Linked DNA regions of Caenorhabditis elegans. The protein of the gene in region 4 interacts with the protein of the main gene of each other region in a pairwise test. Each region holds a gene or a part of one and is shown on either strand. Other genes may lie near its edges.

Region 1 (5,316 bases), on a different chromosome or scaffold from region 4:
CAAAATCGATTTTAATTACACCACTTTGTTATTTCTTCAAATTAACAATTTTCAAAGTTCAATCATTTTCTTCCAAAACGCTCATTTTCAATCTCCAATTTTCTGGTATACAACTTCAGATTCTACAGATCAACTATGATTTTCAATTTATTTTTTTTTAAATTTTTCTTATTTGAATATAAACATTCAAGATTTCTTCTCTTTAAATCTGCCCAAAGTCCCAAGCACTCATCATTTTCTCGGGTTACCAATGAAAGTTCTTATAGGTTTTATTGTGTTCAGATATATATTTTTTCCAATCATTGAGAAAAAGATTCTATATGACTTTATTCGGCTTTTTATTTGTTTTTCTTATTTTTTTATAAAAATTATATTTTGTATTACAATACATTTTATCACTGGAACAAAACCCAAAACCACTCTTAAATAATTGAAAATTGATAATTAATAATACGTTTCGTTTTTCGGTCTCTGAGTTAGATAAAAGCCGCCGTTAGTGTAAGGGGTAATACTGGAGAGGTAATTCAAAAATGTTTATTCTGCCGAAAAATATGTTAAACGACCTATACAGTAAATGACTAGTTATTTTCGGTTTCATCCGTAGAGATGAGTGTGAATGATGTTTGTTGCATCATAAGGAAGTTGTTTAATTAGGTTTCGCATATTAGTTGAAGCTGAGAGCACAAGGAAAGACATCATAAAATAAATTGAAGAAAATTAGAAAAAAAATAAAAGGAAAAATGACGAGAAGGAGGAGAAAGAAAGCCCGCAATAATGCATAACAAAACGGAATAAATTAAAATGCAAACGTCGTGAAATGTCGAATGAGTTGAAGTGGTTTCAATAATGTATCCATCATTTTTGAGCTGTCACCGGGCTTTGAGTAGAAGTCACACGTTTGAAAAATGAAGGTAGGGAGAATTTGGTGCAGCTGTTGCAATTCTGAAAAATGCATGTAAAAGTTGAAAATATTCATTGTTTTCAATAAAAAAATTAAAACATTTAAAGGTGGAGTAGCGCCAGGGGGGAAATTGTTAAAAACCACTCCTTTGGTCCCAAAATGGCTGAATATCATAATTAAACATTTCAAAAATTTTTCTACATTTTTATACTGTAATTTTGTTTAAATTGTTTGCATTAAAACATTAAATTTCATATTTTTCAAAATTTTGGCCATTAACCTTTTTTGCCAAAACTTTGAGCGGAAATTATGAAAAATCTAAAACTTTTTGGAGTGTTTTACTATGATATTTGGTCTTTTTGGATCATAATAAGTGTATTTTGTAAAAATCCCCACTGGCGCTACTTCACCTTTAAGAACATTTTTTTATCATTTTTAAGGTGGAGCACCGAAATCTGGGAAATATTTTCAAATGACTCCAAATGGGCCCCTGATTTCGAATATCTAAGTGACAAAATTCAAAAAAATTTCTCTGATTTTTTTTTATTTAAGCTTGAAATCGCGAATTTCATTTGTGTCCCCATGAGATTTTTCAAGTGCGCGCCAAAATAAGTTATCCTTGGAGCGCGTTTGCCTCATTTAATTTTCTCCATTTATTTTCACTTGTGACAGTTTTTAGCTTTTTTCGTTCATTTTGTCGTATATTATTGTTTTTTTAAATATATTCTTTCGTGTCAATTGAACATTATATTAGCATAGAAATGAATGAAAAAAGCTGAAAAACTGGAAGCAGTAAAAATAAATGGAGAAAATTAAATGAGGCAAACGCGCTCCAAGGATAACTTATTTCGGCGCGCATTTGAAAAATCTCATTGGGACGCAAATGAAAATCGAGATTTCAAGCTTAAATATAAAATCAAAGAAATTTTTTTAAATTTTTTCACATAGATATTCGGAATCAGGGGAAAATTTGGAGTCATTTGAAAATATTTCCCAGATTTCGGTACTCCACTTTCAAATTTTCAAAACGTTTCCAATTTTTAGACCAAGATTCCCCCATTGTTTTATTTCCAACAGCTAACATGTGCAAAGAGCGTATCTAAACCGAGAAAAACGGCGCAAGTCTTCACTTGCAAATCCAATATTTGATTAACGTGATAGGATATTGTCTAAGACTAATAGAATTATTGACTTTTTGACAGTTTGAAATACACCTGAGCTAGGTTGATTACCTGATTGTAAGAGCACATGAAATAAAGAAGAGCAGTAGAAAGAAGTACCAGGAGGAGAAGTGAAATGATTGTAGACATAAGAACGCACATTTTTATTGTTGAAAACATTTCACCCGCAGCCTGTAAGTTGATAATTTGAACTTGGAACAATGATGCGCGTTTTTTGGGAGCAACCTCTAGAATGAACAAAGCAGCAAATAAACCTGATTTTTCTGCCGAAAATGACCAAATTAGTACATCGGTTTTCTTATGTTTTCAAAGCTAGTGTTTGTTTTTTTTTTTTTTTTTTTTTTTTTTTTTTTTTTTAATGGATCTTTAAAACTTTTTGCAAGTTTATTGTAGTATGACGTCACTGGCGACAGTAAGATAATATTATTGAACAGGTTTAGATTATAATATTAAACAAGTTAAAACATATTATTAAAGGTGGACCAGCGCCAGTGGGAAAGTGTTTAAAATTAATCCTATGGTGCCAAAATGACCGAATATCATAATAAAACGGTTCAAATTTGTTTTGAAACTTTTTAATTTACTGTCAAAAAGTGACAATTACTTAGTTTTTGCCACTCATAATTTTGAAAGTCGACTAAGAAAAAAAATTTTCCTACATTTTTAATATTTTAATTTTGTTTTAGTTATTCATATAAAGCATTGTAATGGTCAGAACATGCGAAATTGCTTTGGATTTCCTCAAAATCTAATATTTTTCAAAATTTTGACTATTAACCTCTTTTGCCAAAACTTTGACCGAAAATTATGAAAAATCTAAAACTTTTTTGGAGTGTTTTATTATGATATTCGGTCGTTTTGGATTATTGTAAGTGTATTTAAACAAAATTCCTAATGGCGCTACTCCACCTTTAAAGAAATTTAGTTTATATTTAAAAATAAAACATCAGAATATTAGAATTATTCGTATATTTTCAAGTGACTCAATAATTGTTTCTGGCAAATTTATACATGCACAACGACTATAAAATTTGATATAATACAATTACGGTACTTATGTGGTAGTCATGCCCAAGCACTTTGAACCGTTTCAAAAAAAAAAGACCGTTTTTTTTCAGAACATTTTTAGGTCTGAACTTGTGGTTTTCTAAGCTTTAAAATGCAACCTAATCACACGTTTCGAGATAATTATTATTTTAAATATAAATTAATGGGTAATTTATTTTTGGTAAACGGATATATACTAAATAAGTTCCAGTCTCCATTAAAAAAACCTTCATCTAAAAACATATTACGAATCGTCACTCACCCTTGCAGCAAATTGAATATCTTCCATACCACAGGCCTTGAAACATGTGTTACCAAAAATATTACCAGCTATTGAAGGTCCACCTCCACCACCAGCACTGCTACTTCCACCAACTCCCGGCCCATCACCGGATGCTTCTGAAACTTTGGGTTACACTAATGAAATTTAGAAATGAGCCAGAAAACCTGCTCCAGCACCCATGATGTTCGAAATACCGCTTATGGTTCGTGAAACGTCGGAGAATAGTTGCGGTAGGTTGACCTCACGCTCTCCCATTCCGATGCGCAATCAACTTGGAAAATTGGTACAAGTAGAATAAATGAACAAGTTGAAGTCGGTCTGCAAAAATGATAAATAAACAAGAAAAATAGGATGATTCCGTCTAAAAAGAAACATGCGTCGTGATGATCCGGTGTTCGGAGAAAACAGTGAGAGATGGGGGGGGGGGGGGGGGGTGAGAGGAGAGTTGTAAACAGACGGGGATTGTCCTAGATATAATATTCATGAGTGGTCTTTTCACCTGGAGAGGGGGGAGGTGAGATGAGTGAGGATCAAAGTGTACAAATGTATATACGGATTTGTAACCTCCGGAGGAGAGTAGGTCAAGAAATCTCTAGTAAATTAGTGAAAGTTTTGAGGTTTCTTTTTTTTAAATTGCACTCAAAGATGTAGTACTTAAATTTTTTGTTGCTTTATCAGACTCAAAATTGCCTAAAAACAACGAATTTCATAATGAAACCTTTTGAAAACTTCTCAAAAAAAGTTATGACGGCTCAAAAAAAGCCTGAATTTTGACCGACCTGTCAATGTCGCAGCGGCTTGAAACAATTTTTTTTGAAATCACCGTCAAATTTTGAGTATTCAATTTAATTATCTCATTTTAAACTCGATTTAGGTATTTTAAAGTCGATGGACGAAGAGATCTTAAAAGTTTTGTTACCAAATATTTTTGTTCATTGGCTTTAAACTACCTAAATCGAGTTTAAAACGCAAGATAATTATTATAGAAACCATACCATTGCACAAATTTCTCATAATGTATTTTTGATCTACCTGTTGAACTTGACTCCGCCCCCAAACTTGTTGCCGTTCTTATTTTATTGTTGCTGTCTTGTCGATGGAATGGGAGGAGCCTAGTCAACAAGGTAGATCAAAAATAAATTATGAGAAAATTGTCGTATTTTTTCGATAATAACTTGTATACTCTAAATTTGACGGTGATTTCAAAAAAATGATTACCAGCCGCTGCGACATTGACAAGTCGGTTACATTTCGAATTTTATCTAATAGCAACATTTTAAAAATTCAAAAAATATTCGGTCCTGGGTTCAAAAATTGCAAAGTTAATTAAGTGCTGCGATAACTTCAAAATCTGACGTAGCCTTTTTAAAAGTGCTCCACTCAAGTGCTTTTGACCAAAAGTGGCGCGCCAAGAGGTGACTATAGAAGTTAATGAAAAGAAAGAAAGGAGCACTTGAATGGCGTAACGCATAAAAAACCACTAATATATGTTCTAAAAGAGCACTGGACTGCGGGTGTATGTTTATTGTTAGTGAGCAGTGGACAACGAGGTGACTTCCGGTCAACCTCTCACGAAGAAGAAACGTTTACTTGATGATGGAAAGACACAGGAAGCCGAAAAAAAATGTTGCATAGTAGCTAGCATTGGAGTGAAAGTAATACATTGGGTGTAGTATATATTTGAAATTTAATCTCATCGAAATTAAAAGCTATTGTGAGTAGTAAACCGGCACATTTGAATAATGGCCTATTTTGTCATATAAAATCTAGTACGTACCTATCGAATACCTATTCAGCTTCAGTTTAAGTAGAATCGCAGTTTCAAATAATATTTCGAAGTAAAACTTTTTCATTTATGATACATTCGAAAAACAAGTAAAATTTCAATAGAAATAGAAAGGTGC
Region 2 (4,581 bases), on a different chromosome or scaffold from region 4:
TGGCAAGCCATTTACGGACAGCGCACTGAACCATGACCACCTTTTTCCTGTTAGCGATTTGCTCACGTCTCGCCAAATATCCACGCCAAGCTGCTTGAATTGTGATTGCAGATTTCTCATAGCGAAGCTGGAATATTAAAAACAATTAATAAAAAACTTTCAACAAATTATCATACCTTTTCCACATATCTTCTGACGCGATTCGCCTTAAACATTGCCTGGATCCCAATGATTGAATCGCGAATTTGTTCATACTTCCGTCGCTCCAAATATCCACGAACAGCAGATTGCATGACTATCACAGCACGATGCATTTGGAGATACTTGATTCTTCGGAATGCGAGGAATGCTTTCAACGATGCCTGGACGATGAGCAAAGATCTTCTCATCGTTTCGTATTTTCTCCTGGCCAAAAATCCTTTCCACATCTTCTGAATCACAGTTGCAGCAGCTGCAAGCGTATCGAGCCGAACTCTTTCCAGAACGGCAACTTGTCCAGTACGTAAGAAGATTTTCGTTTTTCCAACTGCATATTTGCCTTCTTCCAAGCATTGTTGGCATGCTAATTCCGCAAACTGTTTAGGTTTGTCTCTCCACAGGGCAGCTTCCTTCGTGTAAATTACACGGTATCGACGAGCAAACTCCTCATACGGATAACGAGATGGGAAACCAGCAGCAGAAATTCGAACAGTCTCAAGAACTCCACACGCACGAAGTTGTTGTATCGCACGTTTTGGCTCGAAATCGAAACTGATTTTGCTGTCATTTGGCTTGATGCATCGGACGTAATGTGGACGCGTCGAACAAAGTACAGACATGAGCTCTTTGAGTGAATCACGAAATTGGCTGGCCACAGTCTTCTTTATCGTACGTTTTCCGGGTGTCGATGAAGATGATGATGAAGAGACGGAGGTTGGTGCAGTTGATCCGATGACTGTGCGAATGAATGGAAATTTACTGGCAACGACAACATCAAGAAGTTGCTCTCCAATCGCATCCCTGTTCTTCTCCACAAATCCATCCGTACTGTATGTGACGTCAGCAGCGAAATGACGAACAATAAAATCGTTGCTCCGAACTTTTGGAAATGCGAGCTGTGGATTTCTCTTCAGCTCCGTGCTATTCTGCAATTGACTCAACCAGTCAGCATCAGATCCATTCAGACGTTTGCATTGCTCGTCGAGAAGATTGATCATTCCGACAGGACCTTCGATAAGATCAATAGCGGGCTGATTGTCATGGAAATCAACACGAACCCATTCAATTTCCTCACGAATATATTCTTCTTGCTCCAACTTGAAGACATGCTGATTAAATTGTTGTTGTAGTTTTTCGTTTGCATAATTGATGGAGAATTGCTCGAAGGAGTTCACATCGAATGTCTCGAATCCATAGATATCAAGGACGCCAATGAAACGATCTGGCCGCTTCTTTTGATTTGTTCCGTCCAGCTTATCCTTCTCGTTCAAAGCTTCATTGATTTTGTCGACGAGCCATCCGAATAAATGGGAATACAGCATTTTCGTGAGAGCATCTCTCGAACGAACAGCTTCATTTTTGGTCAACGGCTTCGTCACGATCTCATTCACAGCTCGAATCTCTCGCCTTGTCAGCCAAATTCTCAGATCGGATTCACTGATTTTCCAAAACTCCCGGCAAAGTCGTGAAATCTCCTGACAACTGCTAGCAGATACAGCGGACGAGCCCTCGCCGTTTTCGAAATGCACGTTTCCGAGAAGCAATAATCCAGCGAGAAGGCGGAATACATCGGACATCTGCTTTTCGTCGAATCCAAGCAACTGAAGCGCTTTCAGCAAAGCCTCGAAATCAGCTTTATCATCAACTCCGGGAATACGACTGTCTCCTCCTTGAGTGAGATACGAATACGATTCGCAAGGTCCCAAGTGAAGATCTTTGAGAACTTGATGATTCCGAGCGGCACATAACTGATAGAAGATGTGATAATTGCGCTCTCCAGGTGCTTGGAATACTAGACGACTTTTCTCGAGCAGATATGTCTTCATTTCGGCTCCGACAATCCTTCGTCCTCGTTCACAGAAGTTAATCTGTATGAACTTCCCAAATCGAGACGAATTATCGTTTCTGAAAATAAAAACAGTTGACAAATTAAGATTAATTTCAAATAAACCAACCTAATCGTTTTGGCATTTCCAATCGACTCCATAATCGGATTGCTCGCCAACACACGTGCTTCAATGCTGGTGGTCCCGCCATTTCTGGTCTTGCTGGCTGCAACAGATGCCAAATAGCGCATGACAAATTTCGCAGATACGGTTTTTCCAGCTCCAGACTCGCCACTCACAATAATAGATTGTGATTTTCCGAAAGCTCCCATGTCGAAGTGGGCCTCTTCTGCTACAGCGAAAATGTGAGGATCCATCTCACGAGCTGATTTTCCAGCTCCTCGATACACTTGGATAATTTCTTCTCCATAAATGTGCGAGCAATCGGCGTAAGGGTTGATTGCTACAAGCACAATTCCACAATATGTGTAGATCGATGATCCTTTCACAAATCGAACTTGTAGATTGTGAAGAACTGCCGGCTCGTGAAGATAGGAAAGAAGTGTGAGATCATCCTTGCCAACAAGAAATGCAGGATTCCTGAGGAATGGCAACTGGTCCAATGACTTGATGGCGTACTCGACTTCCTGAAACGAATAAGTTTTTGAAAACGATTAATGCGATAAACTCTCTCACCGTATCATCTTCGAGCCTTATCCGAACATTCCGTGTTTGGAATGTGATGTCCTCTTCCAAAGTAGCTCCAATCCATACAAGGGTTGGGTGGCGGTGCCAAATACGAACTCCCTTCTGAAAATTTCCAAAATTATTTGAATAACAAAGTTGAGCAACAAAAAACTATTAAAACTGAAATGGCATCTAATAGTAGGATTTAAATAATTCTCACCTTGAAGTTTTGCAGCGGGAACAACTGGCCCCTGCCAAGAGTGGCGCCTCCGTCCATATTGGATGCTCCCAATCTTTTTTCGATTCGGTGAACAGGCTCGGTGAATCTGAAATATTTTGGAATAATTGAACATAAGTCACGAGTTAAAGAAAGTTAAGAAGAGAACGAAGAGAAACGATAGGTTGGTGAAATGTTGAGTTGAGACAGGAAAAAACGTGAAATATTTACATGAACATATCACTGTGTATTTGCCCTTCCTTCTCCCATTCTACGATATTGTCCGGTTATCAGGTTCGGAAACGCAAAAATAAACATTTCGGCAATGAAACACTTTTTCCCGTACTGGACGTGAAGACAGCGAAGATCTACGGTTTTGCATGGTGCCTCATAAAAATTTATTATCCCCGGTGGTGCCGAAATATACATTCCTCAATATCCATCTCTCGCGCCACTCAACATTTATGAAAAACAAAGTGAGGAGGTGTAGGATTAAGTGGAAAGAAAAGATAGATTTGAATTGGCGCCTCTTGCAAGCATGTGCAACTTGCCAAGGACACTTATCGGCCGGTGTTCCTCTCCGCTAAGAGACTGAGAAGAAGCTTGTTCTATTCAATTCGTTACTATTCATCAAGGGCAGTCTCATTTGGAAACTTGTGATTTATCACATTTTGGGACTACTTTTTTGTGTCACAATGAAATAGGGAATAATACTGGTTTCGACGTTGTTTTTTTTATAGCTACTTTTTGTTTATGACAACAAAATAATAATTTACTCTCTCCTATGAACTTGCTGATAATCAAAAAATGTATAATCGTTATGGGTTGTAATGAAAAATTAATTTCGTGTTCACTATTTTTAGGAGAAAATGTATGTAAATCGGGAGTAACGAAAGAAGCGTTGCTTCGGTGACAAAAGACAGCCGGCTGCCATTTCAAATTTCAAACCAGCGCCTTGCGGCAATTTTATCGCCAGAGCAAATCTGCATACGTTGCGAAGGTGTGAAGGTGTCAACAGAGAAAAGGAAGAGCGGAGAAATAGAGAAAGTGATTAAAATACGAAGAAATTCTTATCGGCAATAAGTAGCTGCTAATAATCCTGTATTTACCACTTGTTTCGATAATAAAATAATAGAGAAAAAGGAGAAAATAAGCTAAATTCCACACTTTCTTATTCGGAAACAGGAAGACATGGATAGAAACCAAAATCGTGATGTGGGAAAAAAGAACGACAACATTAGTTTTCAATTCTGGGTACAAGCCGACAAAATCCGAAAAGTAGAAAGCGAAACGAGGAAAGAAGCGATTTCAATTCAAAAGCGAAAATTGGGACGGTCTACTACTAAAAACGCTGCTGATGGAGGTAGATTAAAACGAACATTTGCCTAATCGCTACAGAGTCTCTCCACTTTCAGTGCTTCCGACAAGTGATGACGAGCTGTTGACGGCCATCATAAAATTGCGCCGAAAATGAAAAAAATCTGCCTGAAGAAGTAAAAGAATGTGAGGAAACAGTTGTTTCCACATATAGTAAGAGCGCAAAGCAGAGGAAGTGATTAGTTTTGAAAACAGGAGATAACACGAAAAATGAAGCTACTTCGAATAATTCTCAAAAGAAAAAAACGGGTATTTTACAAAATCGAATTCCAAAAA
Region 3 (7,145 bases), about 13 Mb from region 4:
TACAATAATATAATCTTATTGCATTTTCGCAATTCTCGTTCTCTCCACACACATACACACATCATCCCAAGTATTCCTGTGCTGAATCTCAGTTTGAATGATGTTTCATACCGTTTTTATCCCACTATTGCCTTATCGTTTCCTGTTTTATTATATTTTTCATTTTTTATATTGCCACCACCACCACCAACACCACCCTCTCTATCTTTTTTTGTTCTTTTGCCTCCAGCAACATCATCACCTAGTTTTCTGTGAATTTTGAATTTTGTGTTCCCCCGAGTCCCCTCTGATAGGAATGATAGGAAAAACAATGAAAATGCGAGTTTTTTCAAAAAAAAAAATACAAACTAGGAAACTATAGAAACAAAAAAAAAACATTTGAGGCGCAGTACCGAAATCTCTCCAAATTTGGCCCGAAAAATTCAAAAGAAAATATTTATTTTTCTAAATTATTATTTTTCCGCCACTCCAGCCTCATTCTCATTGGAGCGCGCAAAGTCATGTCGATTTACGAGATTAAGATTTTCAACGAGTTTCATCATTGTTATCGATTTTCGTGTAAAGTTAACTAATTTTTTTGAAAATTTTCGCAAAAAATTTTGGATAATAAAATGTTCAATTGGCACGAAAATGCAGATCTTCAGCAAAAAAACCGACAGAAATGTGTAAAACTGAATCTCGTAAATCCACATGGCATAACGCGCTCCAATGAGAATGTTTTTAGCGAAAAGTTTGAACAAAGGAATATCAAATCAGGGCCAAATTTGGAGCAATTTCTAAAATATTTTCTCAATTCTTTCGGTATTCCACATTCAAACAATTATTCGGCCGTTCCCATGAGCCTCTGAATCTCGATGGGATCCCTTGGCACTGCAGCAGTCAACAGCTCAATCCCTCCAGCTTCACTAGTCGCCACGTCATCCTCGATACGGTATCCAATGCCACGAAACTCTTTGACAGGCCAATCCATCGGAACATACACTCCCGGCTCAATGGTAAATGGCACATTCGGTGGTAGATCAATGTCTCGGGATACTGTCGGACAATCGTGAACATCCATTCCGAGATAATGACTGACGTGGTGGGGACACAGCTTCTCCGCCTGATGAATCATCTCCTTGTGATCCGTAGATCGAATCAGGCCGAGTTCGGTGAAACTTGCCGCGAGAAGTTCGTTCATTCGGCGGAACAGGGCGCTTAGGCGGACTTTTTCCATTGAGTGGGCGTAGGTGAGCAGTTCTTCGTGAACGTAGAGAAGCGCTTCGTAGAGGGATAGTTGGGCGTCTGACCAGCTGCAAAAACGAATTTTTTTTTGGGAAGGTTTTTTGAAACGATTTTTCAAATTTCGTTCGAATTATATTAAACTTTATATAAAACGATTATCCACGGATTTCTGGCTTCCCTCATAAATTGGAATGGAAGAGTTTACCGAACTAGGCCATTTTGGCTCGGCCATATCTGGTGCCGCGTCGCGGCTCGATTTTAGTTGTAAAACTAAATGCATTTGTACGTGTGGAGTACACGACTTTCCCACGCGTTGTCCGGCGGGCGATTGTCAATGGAGCGCAAAAAATTCACTGAGGAAGGGGAGAACTCCGTGATTAGCACCGCCTATTTCTCTCACGAATCTATTTCTTCGAAATCTTCTATTTTTTAAAAATCAATTCCTGAATTCTGAAATTCATTATAGCGTAATTTTTTGGGAATTTCACCCTGAATTCCATTTCTACGGAACAACATTTTTTTCTCGAATTTGTGGTGACTCAAATTAGAATTTTCAAAATCTCCAGAAAAAAAATCATTTTTCCTGAATTTTCTGGAGATTTTTAAAGGAATAAAGTGCAAAAAAGACTCTTTTTGAGGCACCACCGAAAGGAGAAAGGAGAACACAAACCACGCCCATTTTTCCGTGCCGCGCGCAAGTTTTTCTGCAAATTTTTATTTTCAAACGAGACAGCGAAACTCCGAAATAACGCATATCGTGTTCTTTATCATCAACGTGTTATTTCGGAGCTTCGTTGTCTCGTTTGAAAATAAAAATTTGCAGAAAAACTTGCGCGCGGCACGGAAAAAATGGGCGTGGTTTCTGTTCTCCTTTTTCACCTGTTCTCCTTTCGGTGGTGCCTCTTCTTTTTTTTTTCTATGTTTAGCGTAATTTTTTAGCCATCTTGGAATAGCCCCGCCCATTTCTCCCACAAATCCATATCTACGAAATCTCGCATTCCAGAATGATTTGTGGTGTCTCAAACGGGAATATTCAAAATTTCTAGAAAAACCCCATTTTTCTTGAATTTTGGCCGAACTTCTGTAATTTCTGAAATTCTGAGAAAAATTTTCATTTGAGTCACCACAAATACTGGAATGCAAGATTTCGTAGAAATAGACTTGTGGGCGAAATCAGCAAAAAATGGGAAAACATTCAATTTTTTTTAATTTTTTGGGGTTTTATCACTAATTTTTAGCACTTACAATCCAGAAATCGGAAAGCAACGTGTCACATCTGACACATAACCATTCAAATCACACCCAGCATCCACGAGAACACATTCCCGGGGATTTAGGTCATTATTTGCGTCCAAATAGTGAATAGTGTTGGCACGAACACCACCGGCAATCACTGGTGGATATGCTTGCATTTCTGATCCACGACGACGTCCTTCAAACTCCAAGAGCCCGCAAATCGCGTTCTCGTTGTGTAGATCACGTGATCCCGATATCATTGAGCTCATTGTCTGGGCTCCCACGTTGCACACGTCACGCATTGAGCTCATTTCGGATGGAGATTTTATTACTCGGCGACGTTCGATCTGCAAGGAAAACTTGAAAATTGGCAAAAAAATAATTTTTTTTTTGAAATTTTAAAACGATTTTTCGGGTGTTCAGAAAAATTTTTTTTAGGAAAAAATTGGAATTTTCCAAAAGTTTCAAAAAAATAATTTCTAGAACTTTTTCCTAAAAAAAAAATGAATATTGAAAGCTTCGAAAACAGTAAAAATTGGGAAAATTTTTTTACCGTTAAAAAATTTTTTTTTTTCGAAAAAAAAATTTTCAGTTTAAAATTTGGAGCGTTTTCAATTTTATTGATAATTGGTGAAACAAAATAAAAAGTAAATAAAAAATTTTTTTTTTGAAAAATTTGAAAAATTAGATTAAAAATGTTTATTCTGGGATGAAAAAAACCTCCTAAAACCATTTTCTGGAAAATTTAAACTTCCTATTTTGTTCAGACAATTCTTTTTTTTCAAGAAAAAATCAAATTTTCCACTAGAAAATCGAAAAAAATTGACCTCGTTTAAAAATTGGACAAAATTTGAATTTTTACTTTGAAATCCTCGAAAATCGGATTTTTTTTTCAAAGCTTGAACAATTTTCTGCAAATTCTATATATCTCTAAACTCACAAAATGATTAATTTCCCGAACAGAATTAGCTTTAGCCTGTACAAACTTATAGAGTAAATCATCAGAAGTCGAATCAAAAAACACTGCAGTTCCCTTATCGCAAACTTTTTCCAAAGTCTGTAGAATCCGGCTAGTCGGCACACATTCCGTGAATTTTGCAGTCTTTTCCCATTCGGATTCAGTTGGTAGGGCGCCTTCCCATAGCTCATCATAGGCACTACGACGGTCAGCAAAAAGAATATTTGTTTCTTTTGAAGATTCGGATATTCCTGATTGCATTATGTAATAACAATCTGGTGTGGTGATTCCGTTTAGGTATCTGCAAAAAAAAAAAATTTTTCAAATTTTTTTCTGTTAAAAATTTAATTTATTTTTTTTATCAAACAATTTTGAATTTTTCCCAAAAAAAATCCGAAAATTGTGAACAAATCTATTATTTTCGTTGAACAAAAAAAAAACAAATTCAATTTTTAAATAATTTAATTTTCGTTCAGAAAAAGAAATTTGTCGATTTTCGGCGGCAATGATTTTTTTTAACGAAATTTTCCTGAAAAATTCAATATTTCAATAATTCCTGATTTTCTAGTTTTTTTTTTAAAGAAGAACATGTTAAATTTCTACTAATTTTATAACAAAAAATTTCGGGAAAATCTAGAATTAAAAAAAAATGTTTTCAGAAAAATTCTACTAATATATTAATTTTAGCTTAAATTTCGATAATTTTAGGTTATTTTTCAATTTTTTTAGGGCGAAATTTTGATTTTCAAAACAAAAATATTTTCTGACAAAAAAATTAATTTTCATTCTTTTTTAGATTTTTTGAAAAATTTTCAATTTTTTTCTGAAGAATTTGGTACTTGTGTATTACATGCCCTCATTTTTAAATTAAATTAAATGTTCATTAATTTCTCCATTTAAATTAAACGTGATATACATTTTCTCTTTTTAGGCTTAGAAATTGCTATTTTGCTACTTAAAAAATTACTATTAAAATGAGGGCATGTAATACACAAGTACCAAGAATTTCAATCAATTCTTGTTTTTGAAATTTTTTTTGGGAAAAATTCCAATTTTCGATTGTTTCTTCGATTTTTTCAGAAAAAAAATTTTCTAAAATTTATTTATTTGTTTGAAAATTGGATCTAAAAAAATTTCTCTAGTTTTTATTTTTTTTCTGGAAAAAGCTTTTTTTAACTTAAAAAGTTAATCTGTGGCCGAGTTTTCTCTCATCATTTTCACGGCCACGGCCATCAAAACCGAACCTGAAATGGCTTTTCTGTCGGAACGCGTGTGGAACATCCGGTGCAATATATGATTTCCGTGCTCCTTTCATCACAACGACCACTTGCTTTTCTGAAACTTTGAGAGGTCATGGCCTAACTTTTAAATGGTTTTCTAGGCCACCATGGTGATTTTATTACGGTACCGGGTCTCGACACGATGAATTTTGTAGAATAAATTTTTCTGAAAAATTTCGTTTTTTTTTTTAGAAAAATCAAATTTTCAAGAAAAATGGGAAAACATTTTTCAGGAAAAATTTAATTTTATAGAGAAAAATAGAATTTTTCCTTTAAAAAAATCTGAAAATTCGGATTTTTGAGAATTCTCTTTATTTGGATTTTAAAATCCAAATTTTCAAAAAAAAATTTAAAAATCGGAAAATTCCAAATTTTTGAGAGTAAACTCGCCTTAATTTTTTTTTTCAATTAAAAAAATTAATTTTTTAAAAGAAAATTGGAATTTTTACCCAAAAATTGGCAATTATTCGAGTTTTCAACGGAAAAATCTGAAAAATCCGAATTTTTGAAAAAAAAATCTTTAAAAATCCCAATATTCAATTAAAAACCGCGAAATTTCGGATTTTTGAGAAAATTTTAATTTAAAAAAGTCCTATTTGTACTGCAAATCCTCATTTCCAAATGATGGCCTAACTTTTTCAGAATTCTAGGCCACCAGGCCATTTCTCTGCCTCTTACCCCCAGTTTTGACCTCTTTTTTGAGTAAATTCATCAAATTCGTCCTTCTCATCGCATATTCCTCATTTGGAATTCGCGATGGCCACATTGGTAGGCTCCGCCCACTTCTGAGCATTTTTTTTTTGGATCTGATCTGTGTGGGAGGGAAATTCGAATTTTTTTAGAAATGAATAAAACTGAAAAAAATAGATTTTTTGGGAAACAGGGAACCTGAATTTTCGAGAGAAAAAAGGAGGTAAAACAAAAAATTCGATTTTATATTGAGCAAAAATTAATAGAAAAAATAAACTTAACAATTATGAACAGAAAAACCTACTAAAAAAGTCTAAAAAATGAATGAAAAATTGCAAAAAAAATCTACAATCGATACGAGACTCCTCCTCCAACAATGCAGTTCTCGCCGGTGATGTACCTGAAAAAAAGTGATTTTTTTTTGAATTTTTAGAAAACAAAATTATGAAAAAAACCAAAAAATTTCCGAATAATCGAAATTTTTCGGAAGTTTTAGGTTAAAAAAATTTTTTTTTGATGAAAAGTTTTTTTTCAACAATTCTGAAAACTAAAAGTACCAAAAAATTTTAGTTTTTTCGATTGTTTCAATATGATAATTTTTTTTAAATGTTTAAAATTGTATTTTTTCAAAAAATATTATCAATTTTCCAATTTTATGGTAATTTTGGATGTGAGATTTTTTTCTTCAAATTTTCGAAACGTTTCTCGATAAAAAAATTTTTCAACTGAAAAACTACAAAAAATCCTCTTATTTTGAAGAAAAATCGATATTTTCTCAAATTGTTCAGATTTTTTCTGTTTTTACCAAAAGTGACCAAATTTTGAGACTTTTCGATCCAATGTTTAAAATTTTTTTCCCGTTTTTTCGATATTTGCGGTTTAAATTTTTTTTAAATTTTTTGATTCAATTTTAATAAGTTTGAGTGTTTTTCGATTTTTTGTCCAAATTTTTTCAAATTTTTTTCCAGAAAATTGGTAGAAGCCAAAAAGTGCGATTTTTTTCCTTAAAAAAGATAATTATTCAGTTTTTCGACTGTTTTCTTCTTGCTTCCAGATTTTTTCTCGAATTTTTTTTATATTTGAATTGTATTTTTAAATATTATACTCCTAATCGATAAAAATTAGTTTTTTTTTCAATTTAAATTGGAAAAGAACGTTCTTTTTCGTAAATTTTAGTGATTTTTGATTCCAAATTTTTGGATTTTTTCAAAAAATTTCCCAGAAAATTTTACCTGGCTTTGGTAGAAGCCAGAAATTCGATTAAATAAGCTTTTTTGGGTTTTTCGACAATTTGTCAAGTTAGGAATTAAACTTTTAAAATTTTTTTCAAAAATTTTAAAAAACTAAAAGTATTTCTGAGAATTTTTCTGAAATTAATTATTCAGTTTTTCGACTGATTTCTGCTTGCTTCCAGATTTTTTCTCGAAGTTTTTATATTTGATTTTTTTAAAAAATACTCTTAATCGAAAAAAATTCATTTTTTGAATTTTTTCGGGACTTTTTTTTTCGAAATTTTCGTAAGTGTTAGTGTTTTTCGATTTTTGATTCTAAATTATTGGATTTCTTCAAAAAATTTTTTCAGAAAATTCTACCTGGCTCTGGTAGAAGCCAGAAATTCGATTGAAGAAGCTTTTTTTTCGGTTTTTTGGACAATTTTCCAAGTTTTAGTTAGGAGTTAAACTTTTTCAAATTTTTTTTGAATTTTTTTCAAAAACTTTAAAAACTAAAAGTATTTCTGAGAATTTTTGAGAAAAGCA
Region 4 (4,797 bases):
TTGGTACAGCTTTTCAGCAGAAAAAGTCTTAAAAATCTGAAAATTTCAGCGAATTTGGCGAATTTATCGGATTCTAATAAGCTTGCCACGCTGCAAAATGGCCGACAAGGACTAATTTCAGTGCTTCAATGTACCACGAGACGGCCTGAATATTTCTTGGAGAGCTTTACTATGGTATCATGGATTTTCTGAAAAACCCAAAAAAATTTCAAATTTTCACTTTCAAATTCGAATTCTCCGTCCAATTCTACCAATTTTGGCTTTTTTCCCGGTCTTCTAGCGTTAATTTTGAGATTTCCGGGTTACTGTAGCCCCAAAAGTACGCAATTTCTCGTCCGGGCACCGGATCCTACGACGAAATGCACAGAAACTCAAAATGTTGCGAAAAGTGTCGGGATATGGGTAAAAAAGAGCGCTGAAACCGAATTTCGATAGAAAAACAATGGAAAATTGTGATTTTCTAGGTTTTTCGCTGAAAAATGTCGATTTTTAGTGGAAAATTATTAAAAATCTCGAATTTTTGGTAAGAATTCTGCTGTTTTCTTCAGAAATTCGGATTCAGCACCCCTTTTTACCCCTGCCTAGGCGGTTTTCGCGAGTTTTGAAGTTTCTGTGCATTTTGTCGTAAGATATGGTGCATCGACGGAACATTGCGTACTTTTGGCGCTACCGTACCCCGAAAATCTTATAATTAACGGTAAACGCCTAGAAAACCGCCAAAGTGTGGTAAAAAATGACGAGCAATTCGAATTTTCACACTAAAAACTTGGAAAATTATCGGAATTCAATTATTTCCTCAGAAATTTCAAAAAAATTGGTAAAATTTCAACTTTATCGCTTTTTCCATATGAAATTCGAGCTCAGCGCCACTTTTTACCCCTATTCAGCTGATTTCAGCTGAATTTTGCAAGATTCTAGATTTCTGTGCATTTTGTCGTACGGTCAGGTTTTCTGACGACAAATTGCGTAATTTTGGGGCTACAGTACCCCAAAAAGTTCAAACTTAACGCTAGAAGCCCAGAAAAAAGGCTGAACATGTGAAAAATGGCGGGCAATTCGAATTTCAAGCTTAAAAATCTCAAAAATCGATATTTCGTCCGGAATTTTTTACAAAACTTGCTTTAAACTTGATTTTCCTACCCAATTTTCCTATTGAAATTCGGATTCAGCACACATTTTTACCCCAAAATCGCCGGATTTCGCAAGATTTGCCAATTCTGTGCATTTTGTCGAAAGATCTGGTGCCCCGCCGCCGACAAATTGCGTACTTTTGGAGCTACAGTACCCCCGAAATGTTCAAAATTACCGCTAGAAACCCGGGGAAAAAAGGCTAAATATGTGAAAAATTGCGGGAAATTCGAATTTAATACTAAAAAATCCCAAAAATTCCAAATTTTCAGAGAAATCAATCGATATTCTGTGTTCGTCAGCTAACAGATGGTTGTCAAGAGAATAAGGAAGTGGTTTTTAATCTCCAGCAGCCAAATCAACCAATTATCGATCGAAAACGACTTCTCGAAGAGCTCGGAGTCCACGTGGACAATTAAATTTTTGAAATTTTAATTTTTCTGTTGTTCCCGCATTTTTATACACGTTTTTTTGTTTTTTGTTGTTAATTTTTTTTGAAAAAATCAATAATTTATCGATTTTTTTTTCATTTTTATTAATTTCTCAATTTTCAATAACTGTTCCCCGTGCAGTTTTCTGGTATTTTTTTTCCCAAAAATTTCAGGCAAAATTTTCAGCCAAAACCCCCCTGATTTTCCAGATGAATTTCAATGATATTGATAATCAAATGTACGGGAATTTGGAGGAGGACGCTGAGTTGCTCGCCGAGCTTGCCGCAATACAAGAAGAGGAGATGGGTCGTGTTAGGTAGGGTTTTAGCGGGTTTTCGGCGAGAAATTCGGATTCTCTGTGATTTTTTACCATCGGGAGCCTTTTTTCTGGACTTCTATGGTTAATTTTGAATTTTCCGGGGTACTGTAGCCCTAAAAGTACGCAATTTTTCGTCCAGGCACCGGATCTTACGACAAAATGCACAGAATTTTTAAATTTTGCGAAAACCGGCTGGATAGGGGTAAAACAGGCCGCTGAAGTCGAATTTCAATAGGAAAATCGTTGAAAATGCGAAGTTATGGTGTAGAAATTCATTTTTTTCCGCAATTTCGATATTGTTACTGCGAAATTTGAATATTTTATCAATTTTAGACATTAAATTCGAATTCGGTAATTTTTCACCCCCGGGGGCTTTTTTCTGGGCTTCTAGCGTTAATTTTGAATTTTCCGGGGTACTGTAGCCCCAGAAGTACGCAATTTCTCGTCCGGGCACCGTATCTTACGCGAAAATGCACAGAATCTCAAAGTCTTGCAAAAAGTGTAGATTTTTCATGATTATCGTCTTTAATTTGACGAATTCCGGCTGTACCGTTAGGAAATTCGAATTCCTTGTCATTTTCTACCCCCGATGCCTTTTTTCTGGGTTTCTGTCGTTAATTTTGAAATTTCCGAGGTACTGTAGCTCCAAAAGTACGCAATTTTTCGTCCAGGCATCCGAATTTACGACAAAATGCACAAAATTTCCAATTCTGCTTAAAACAGGCTTTTCTGGGGTAAAAAGGCGAGCTGAGCTCGATATTCAATAGGAAAATTAGGGAAAATTCGAAATTCTGGCCGGGATTGTGTGGAGAGTGAGCGAATCGGTTGGTAGACGAGAGAAAATACTGCGGCTTGGCGACACCGTGAATGTTCTGAAATTTTAAACTTTTTTTAAAATTCATAATAACTTATTTTCTTACCGATCTAGAATTCCCGGAGAATGGTTAGAAGCCGCAGATTGTGGTGGTGGAAGTTCGTTGGTACGAACTGAAGAGTCGTCTCTGAAATTTATGAGTTCGAATTTGTTGAAAATTTATTTCCACGCTCTACCTGTCACTTTTTAAATGTGTTTTGCCTAAATTCTTTTAAAACTAAAAGTTACTAGAAAAACTAGAAGTTTAAAGCCAAACTCACCGAGAGCGACCAGCTCCGACATTTGAAGCAGCTGAAGTTCTCGAACGGGAACCTGATCTCGAACCTGTCGGGGCTGCTTGATTTCTGCTCCGGTTTCCGCTGAGCTCGGTGGCGTTGGGTTGGACAAACGTCCTGAAAAACAAAAACTTTACATTTTTACGTCTTAAAAATCGTCTGAAATCCACTGAAATTTATCTGATAAAATCAGTTTGAAAAACCAAACTTCTTACCGATCGGCCGTAGCATCCGTTGGGGCAGTCTCATACGATAGAGTTGGCTGGATTGTGTGAAGTGACAGTTCCGTAGGAAACCGAGAACGTGATCCACTACGACTCGATTGTATTTCTGGTGCTCCAAGGAATCCGCTGAAATTCAAATAATATAATCGATTCGAATTAAAAACCCGCTATTGCTTACGTGTCTGCAATCCTGACCGTATGGGCACTCTGAAGGGACGCCGATGGTGTAGTTAAGTGGGACGCACGCGTCGAAACAATAAATGTTCTGAAATTTAAAATTAGTGATTCATAATAACTTGTTTTCTTACCGATCAAGCGTGTTCGGAGACCGAAAAGAGGAGAGAACTCCGTCGAGTGAGTCACCTCTTGAGGTTTGAAAATTGCTCCGCGAGGACTGCGCTGTCATTTGGCTTGGGTGAGGACGATAAAATCCCCTGAAAAATAAAAACTTTACATTTTTTCGTCTTAAAAAATCTTACAAGTCGGCAGACTTCGCGGTATTGAATGCGGAGATGCCACGTTGGCGAGTCCTTGGTTGGATCTTCTGAAATGTGATAATTAGACTTTTGAACACATTTTTTGCTAGTTTCTAACAATCAATGAAAGCAAGCTTACCTCGTCGAGCGTCTCAATTCCTGCTCTAAAGAGCGATTATTTCCAGTAGAGCTCTGCAGAGATGGGGGAGGTGCCAGAAATCCGCTGAAAATCGAAAATTAACACTCAATTTTTTTAACTTAATTATTTACTTGTTGTGCCGGTCTGATCCCACTTGTGATTTCGAAAGAGACCTTCCGAACGTTACTAAAGGAGAGCTTCCGGACGATGGGACTGCAACTCTGTTGGAATTGAGTGTATTTCTGAAAATAGGAAACTAGAAATAATTTCAATCGAAAAAAAATCACCGTTCCAACACGCGTTTAGATCTCCGGTGGGGCGATATACTCGATGAGTCTCTTGACGCTTCGGAAGTCGTGTCTCTGGAATCCTCCTGGGAAACCTTGATAGGCTTACGCGACGGCATCCTAAAATTTGAAAAATTATACAAAGACAAGAGAGAGAAAATAAGTTAAAAACAGGAGAAGCCGACAGAAAAGAGAAAAGAGTGTGTAAGCTGAGAGGGCTCTGCAGATATTTTAAAACTGTGTGGTTAATAAAGGACCGGAAGAATAAAAGTTCTGACTTCTGGCCAAACTTCTGAAATTGGAAAAATCAATTTTCAAGGTCTCAGAAAAGAAGAAAAAGCAAAAAACATAAAAGATTGTCTATACTTCCAGTCATTCCAAAAAGTAAAGTAGAACTAAATAATAAAACGCTTAATTTTTGAACAGTTAATTCTGACAGCGAAAATAGAATACTGCGAAATTTGAATATTTTATTAATTTTAAACATTAAATTCGAATTCTCGGTGATTTTTCCCGCCGGCCGGCTTTTTTCCGCGCTTTTAGCGTTAATTTTCAATTTTCCGAGATACTGTAGCCCCAAAAGTACGCAATTTCTCGTCAGGGCACCAGATCTAACGCAAAAATGCACAGAATCACCAAATCTT

The links.
Region 1: the proteins of ccct-1 (region 4) and F59D12.2 interact in a two-hybrid assay, tested with the Caenorhabditis elegans proteins (one large-scale study listed by BioGRID).
Region 2: the proteins of ccct-1 (region 4) and hum-2 interact in a two-hybrid assay, tested with the Caenorhabditis elegans proteins (one large-scale study listed by BioGRID).
Region 3: the proteins of ccct-1 (region 4) and icpp-55 interact in a two-hybrid assay, tested with the Caenorhabditis elegans proteins (one large-scale study listed by BioGRID).

What each region holds. Positions count from the first base shown.
Region 1 is NC_003284.9:15,671,993-15,677,308, forward strand, and holds F59D12.2 (uncharacterized protein), read right to left. Parts: upstream 3,731-5,316; 5' UTR 3,668-3,730; coding exon 3,577-3,667; intron 3,529-3,576; coding exon 3,392-3,528; intron 2,254-3,391; coding exon 2,134-2,253; intron 943-2,133; coding exon 856-942; 3' UTR 521-855; downstream 1-520.
Region 2 is NC_003283.11:9,384,637-9,389,217, reverse strand, and holds the start of hum-2 (Myosin motor domain-containing protein), read right to left. Parts: upstream 3,044-4,581; 5' UTR 2,989-3,043; coding exon 2,932-2,988; intron 2,835-2,931; coding exon 2,721-2,834; intron 2,672-2,720; coding exon 2,154-2,671; intron 2,106-2,153; exon of another isoform or gene 2,104-2,105; coding exon 177-2,103; intron 128-176; coding exon 1-127.
Region 3 is NC_003279.8:367,955-375,099, forward strand, and holds icpp-55 (Aminopeptidase P N-terminal domain-containing protein), read right to left. Parts: upstream 5,492-7,145; coding exon 5,377-5,491; intron 4,760-5,376; coding exon 4,663-4,759; intron 3,720-4,662; coding exon 3,401-3,719; intron 2,808-3,400; coding exon 2,470-2,807; intron 1,293-2,469; coding exon 821-1,292; 3' UTR 547-820; downstream 1-546. Other genes in the region: R119.3 (DeHydrogenases, Short chain), read right to left, coding at 5,734-5,788.
Region 4 is NC_003279.8:13,777,131-13,781,927, forward strand, and holds the start of ccct-1 (Coiled-coil and C2 domain-containing protein 1-like), read left to right. Parts: upstream 1-1,764; 5' UTR 1,765-1,768; coding exon 1,769-1,875; intron 1,876-2,648; coding exon of another isoform or gene 2,649-2,750; intron 2,751-2,798; coding exon of another isoform or gene 2,799-2,879; intron 2,880-3,012; coding exon of another isoform or gene 3,013-3,144; intron 3,145-3,242; coding exon of another isoform or gene 3,243-3,377; intron 3,378-3,429; coding exon of another isoform or gene 3,430-3,516; intron 3,517-3,559; coding exon of another isoform or gene 3,560-3,685; intron 3,686-3,730; coding exon of another isoform or gene 3,731-3,795; intron 3,796-3,866; coding exon of another isoform or gene 3,867-3,950; intron 3,951-3,997; coding exon of another isoform or gene 3,998-4,108; intron 4,109-4,153; coding exon of another isoform or gene 4,154-4,272; intron 4,273-4,797. Other genes in the region: Y37H9A.1 (Copper transport protein 86), read left to right, coding at 1-3, 50-174, 1,401-1,547.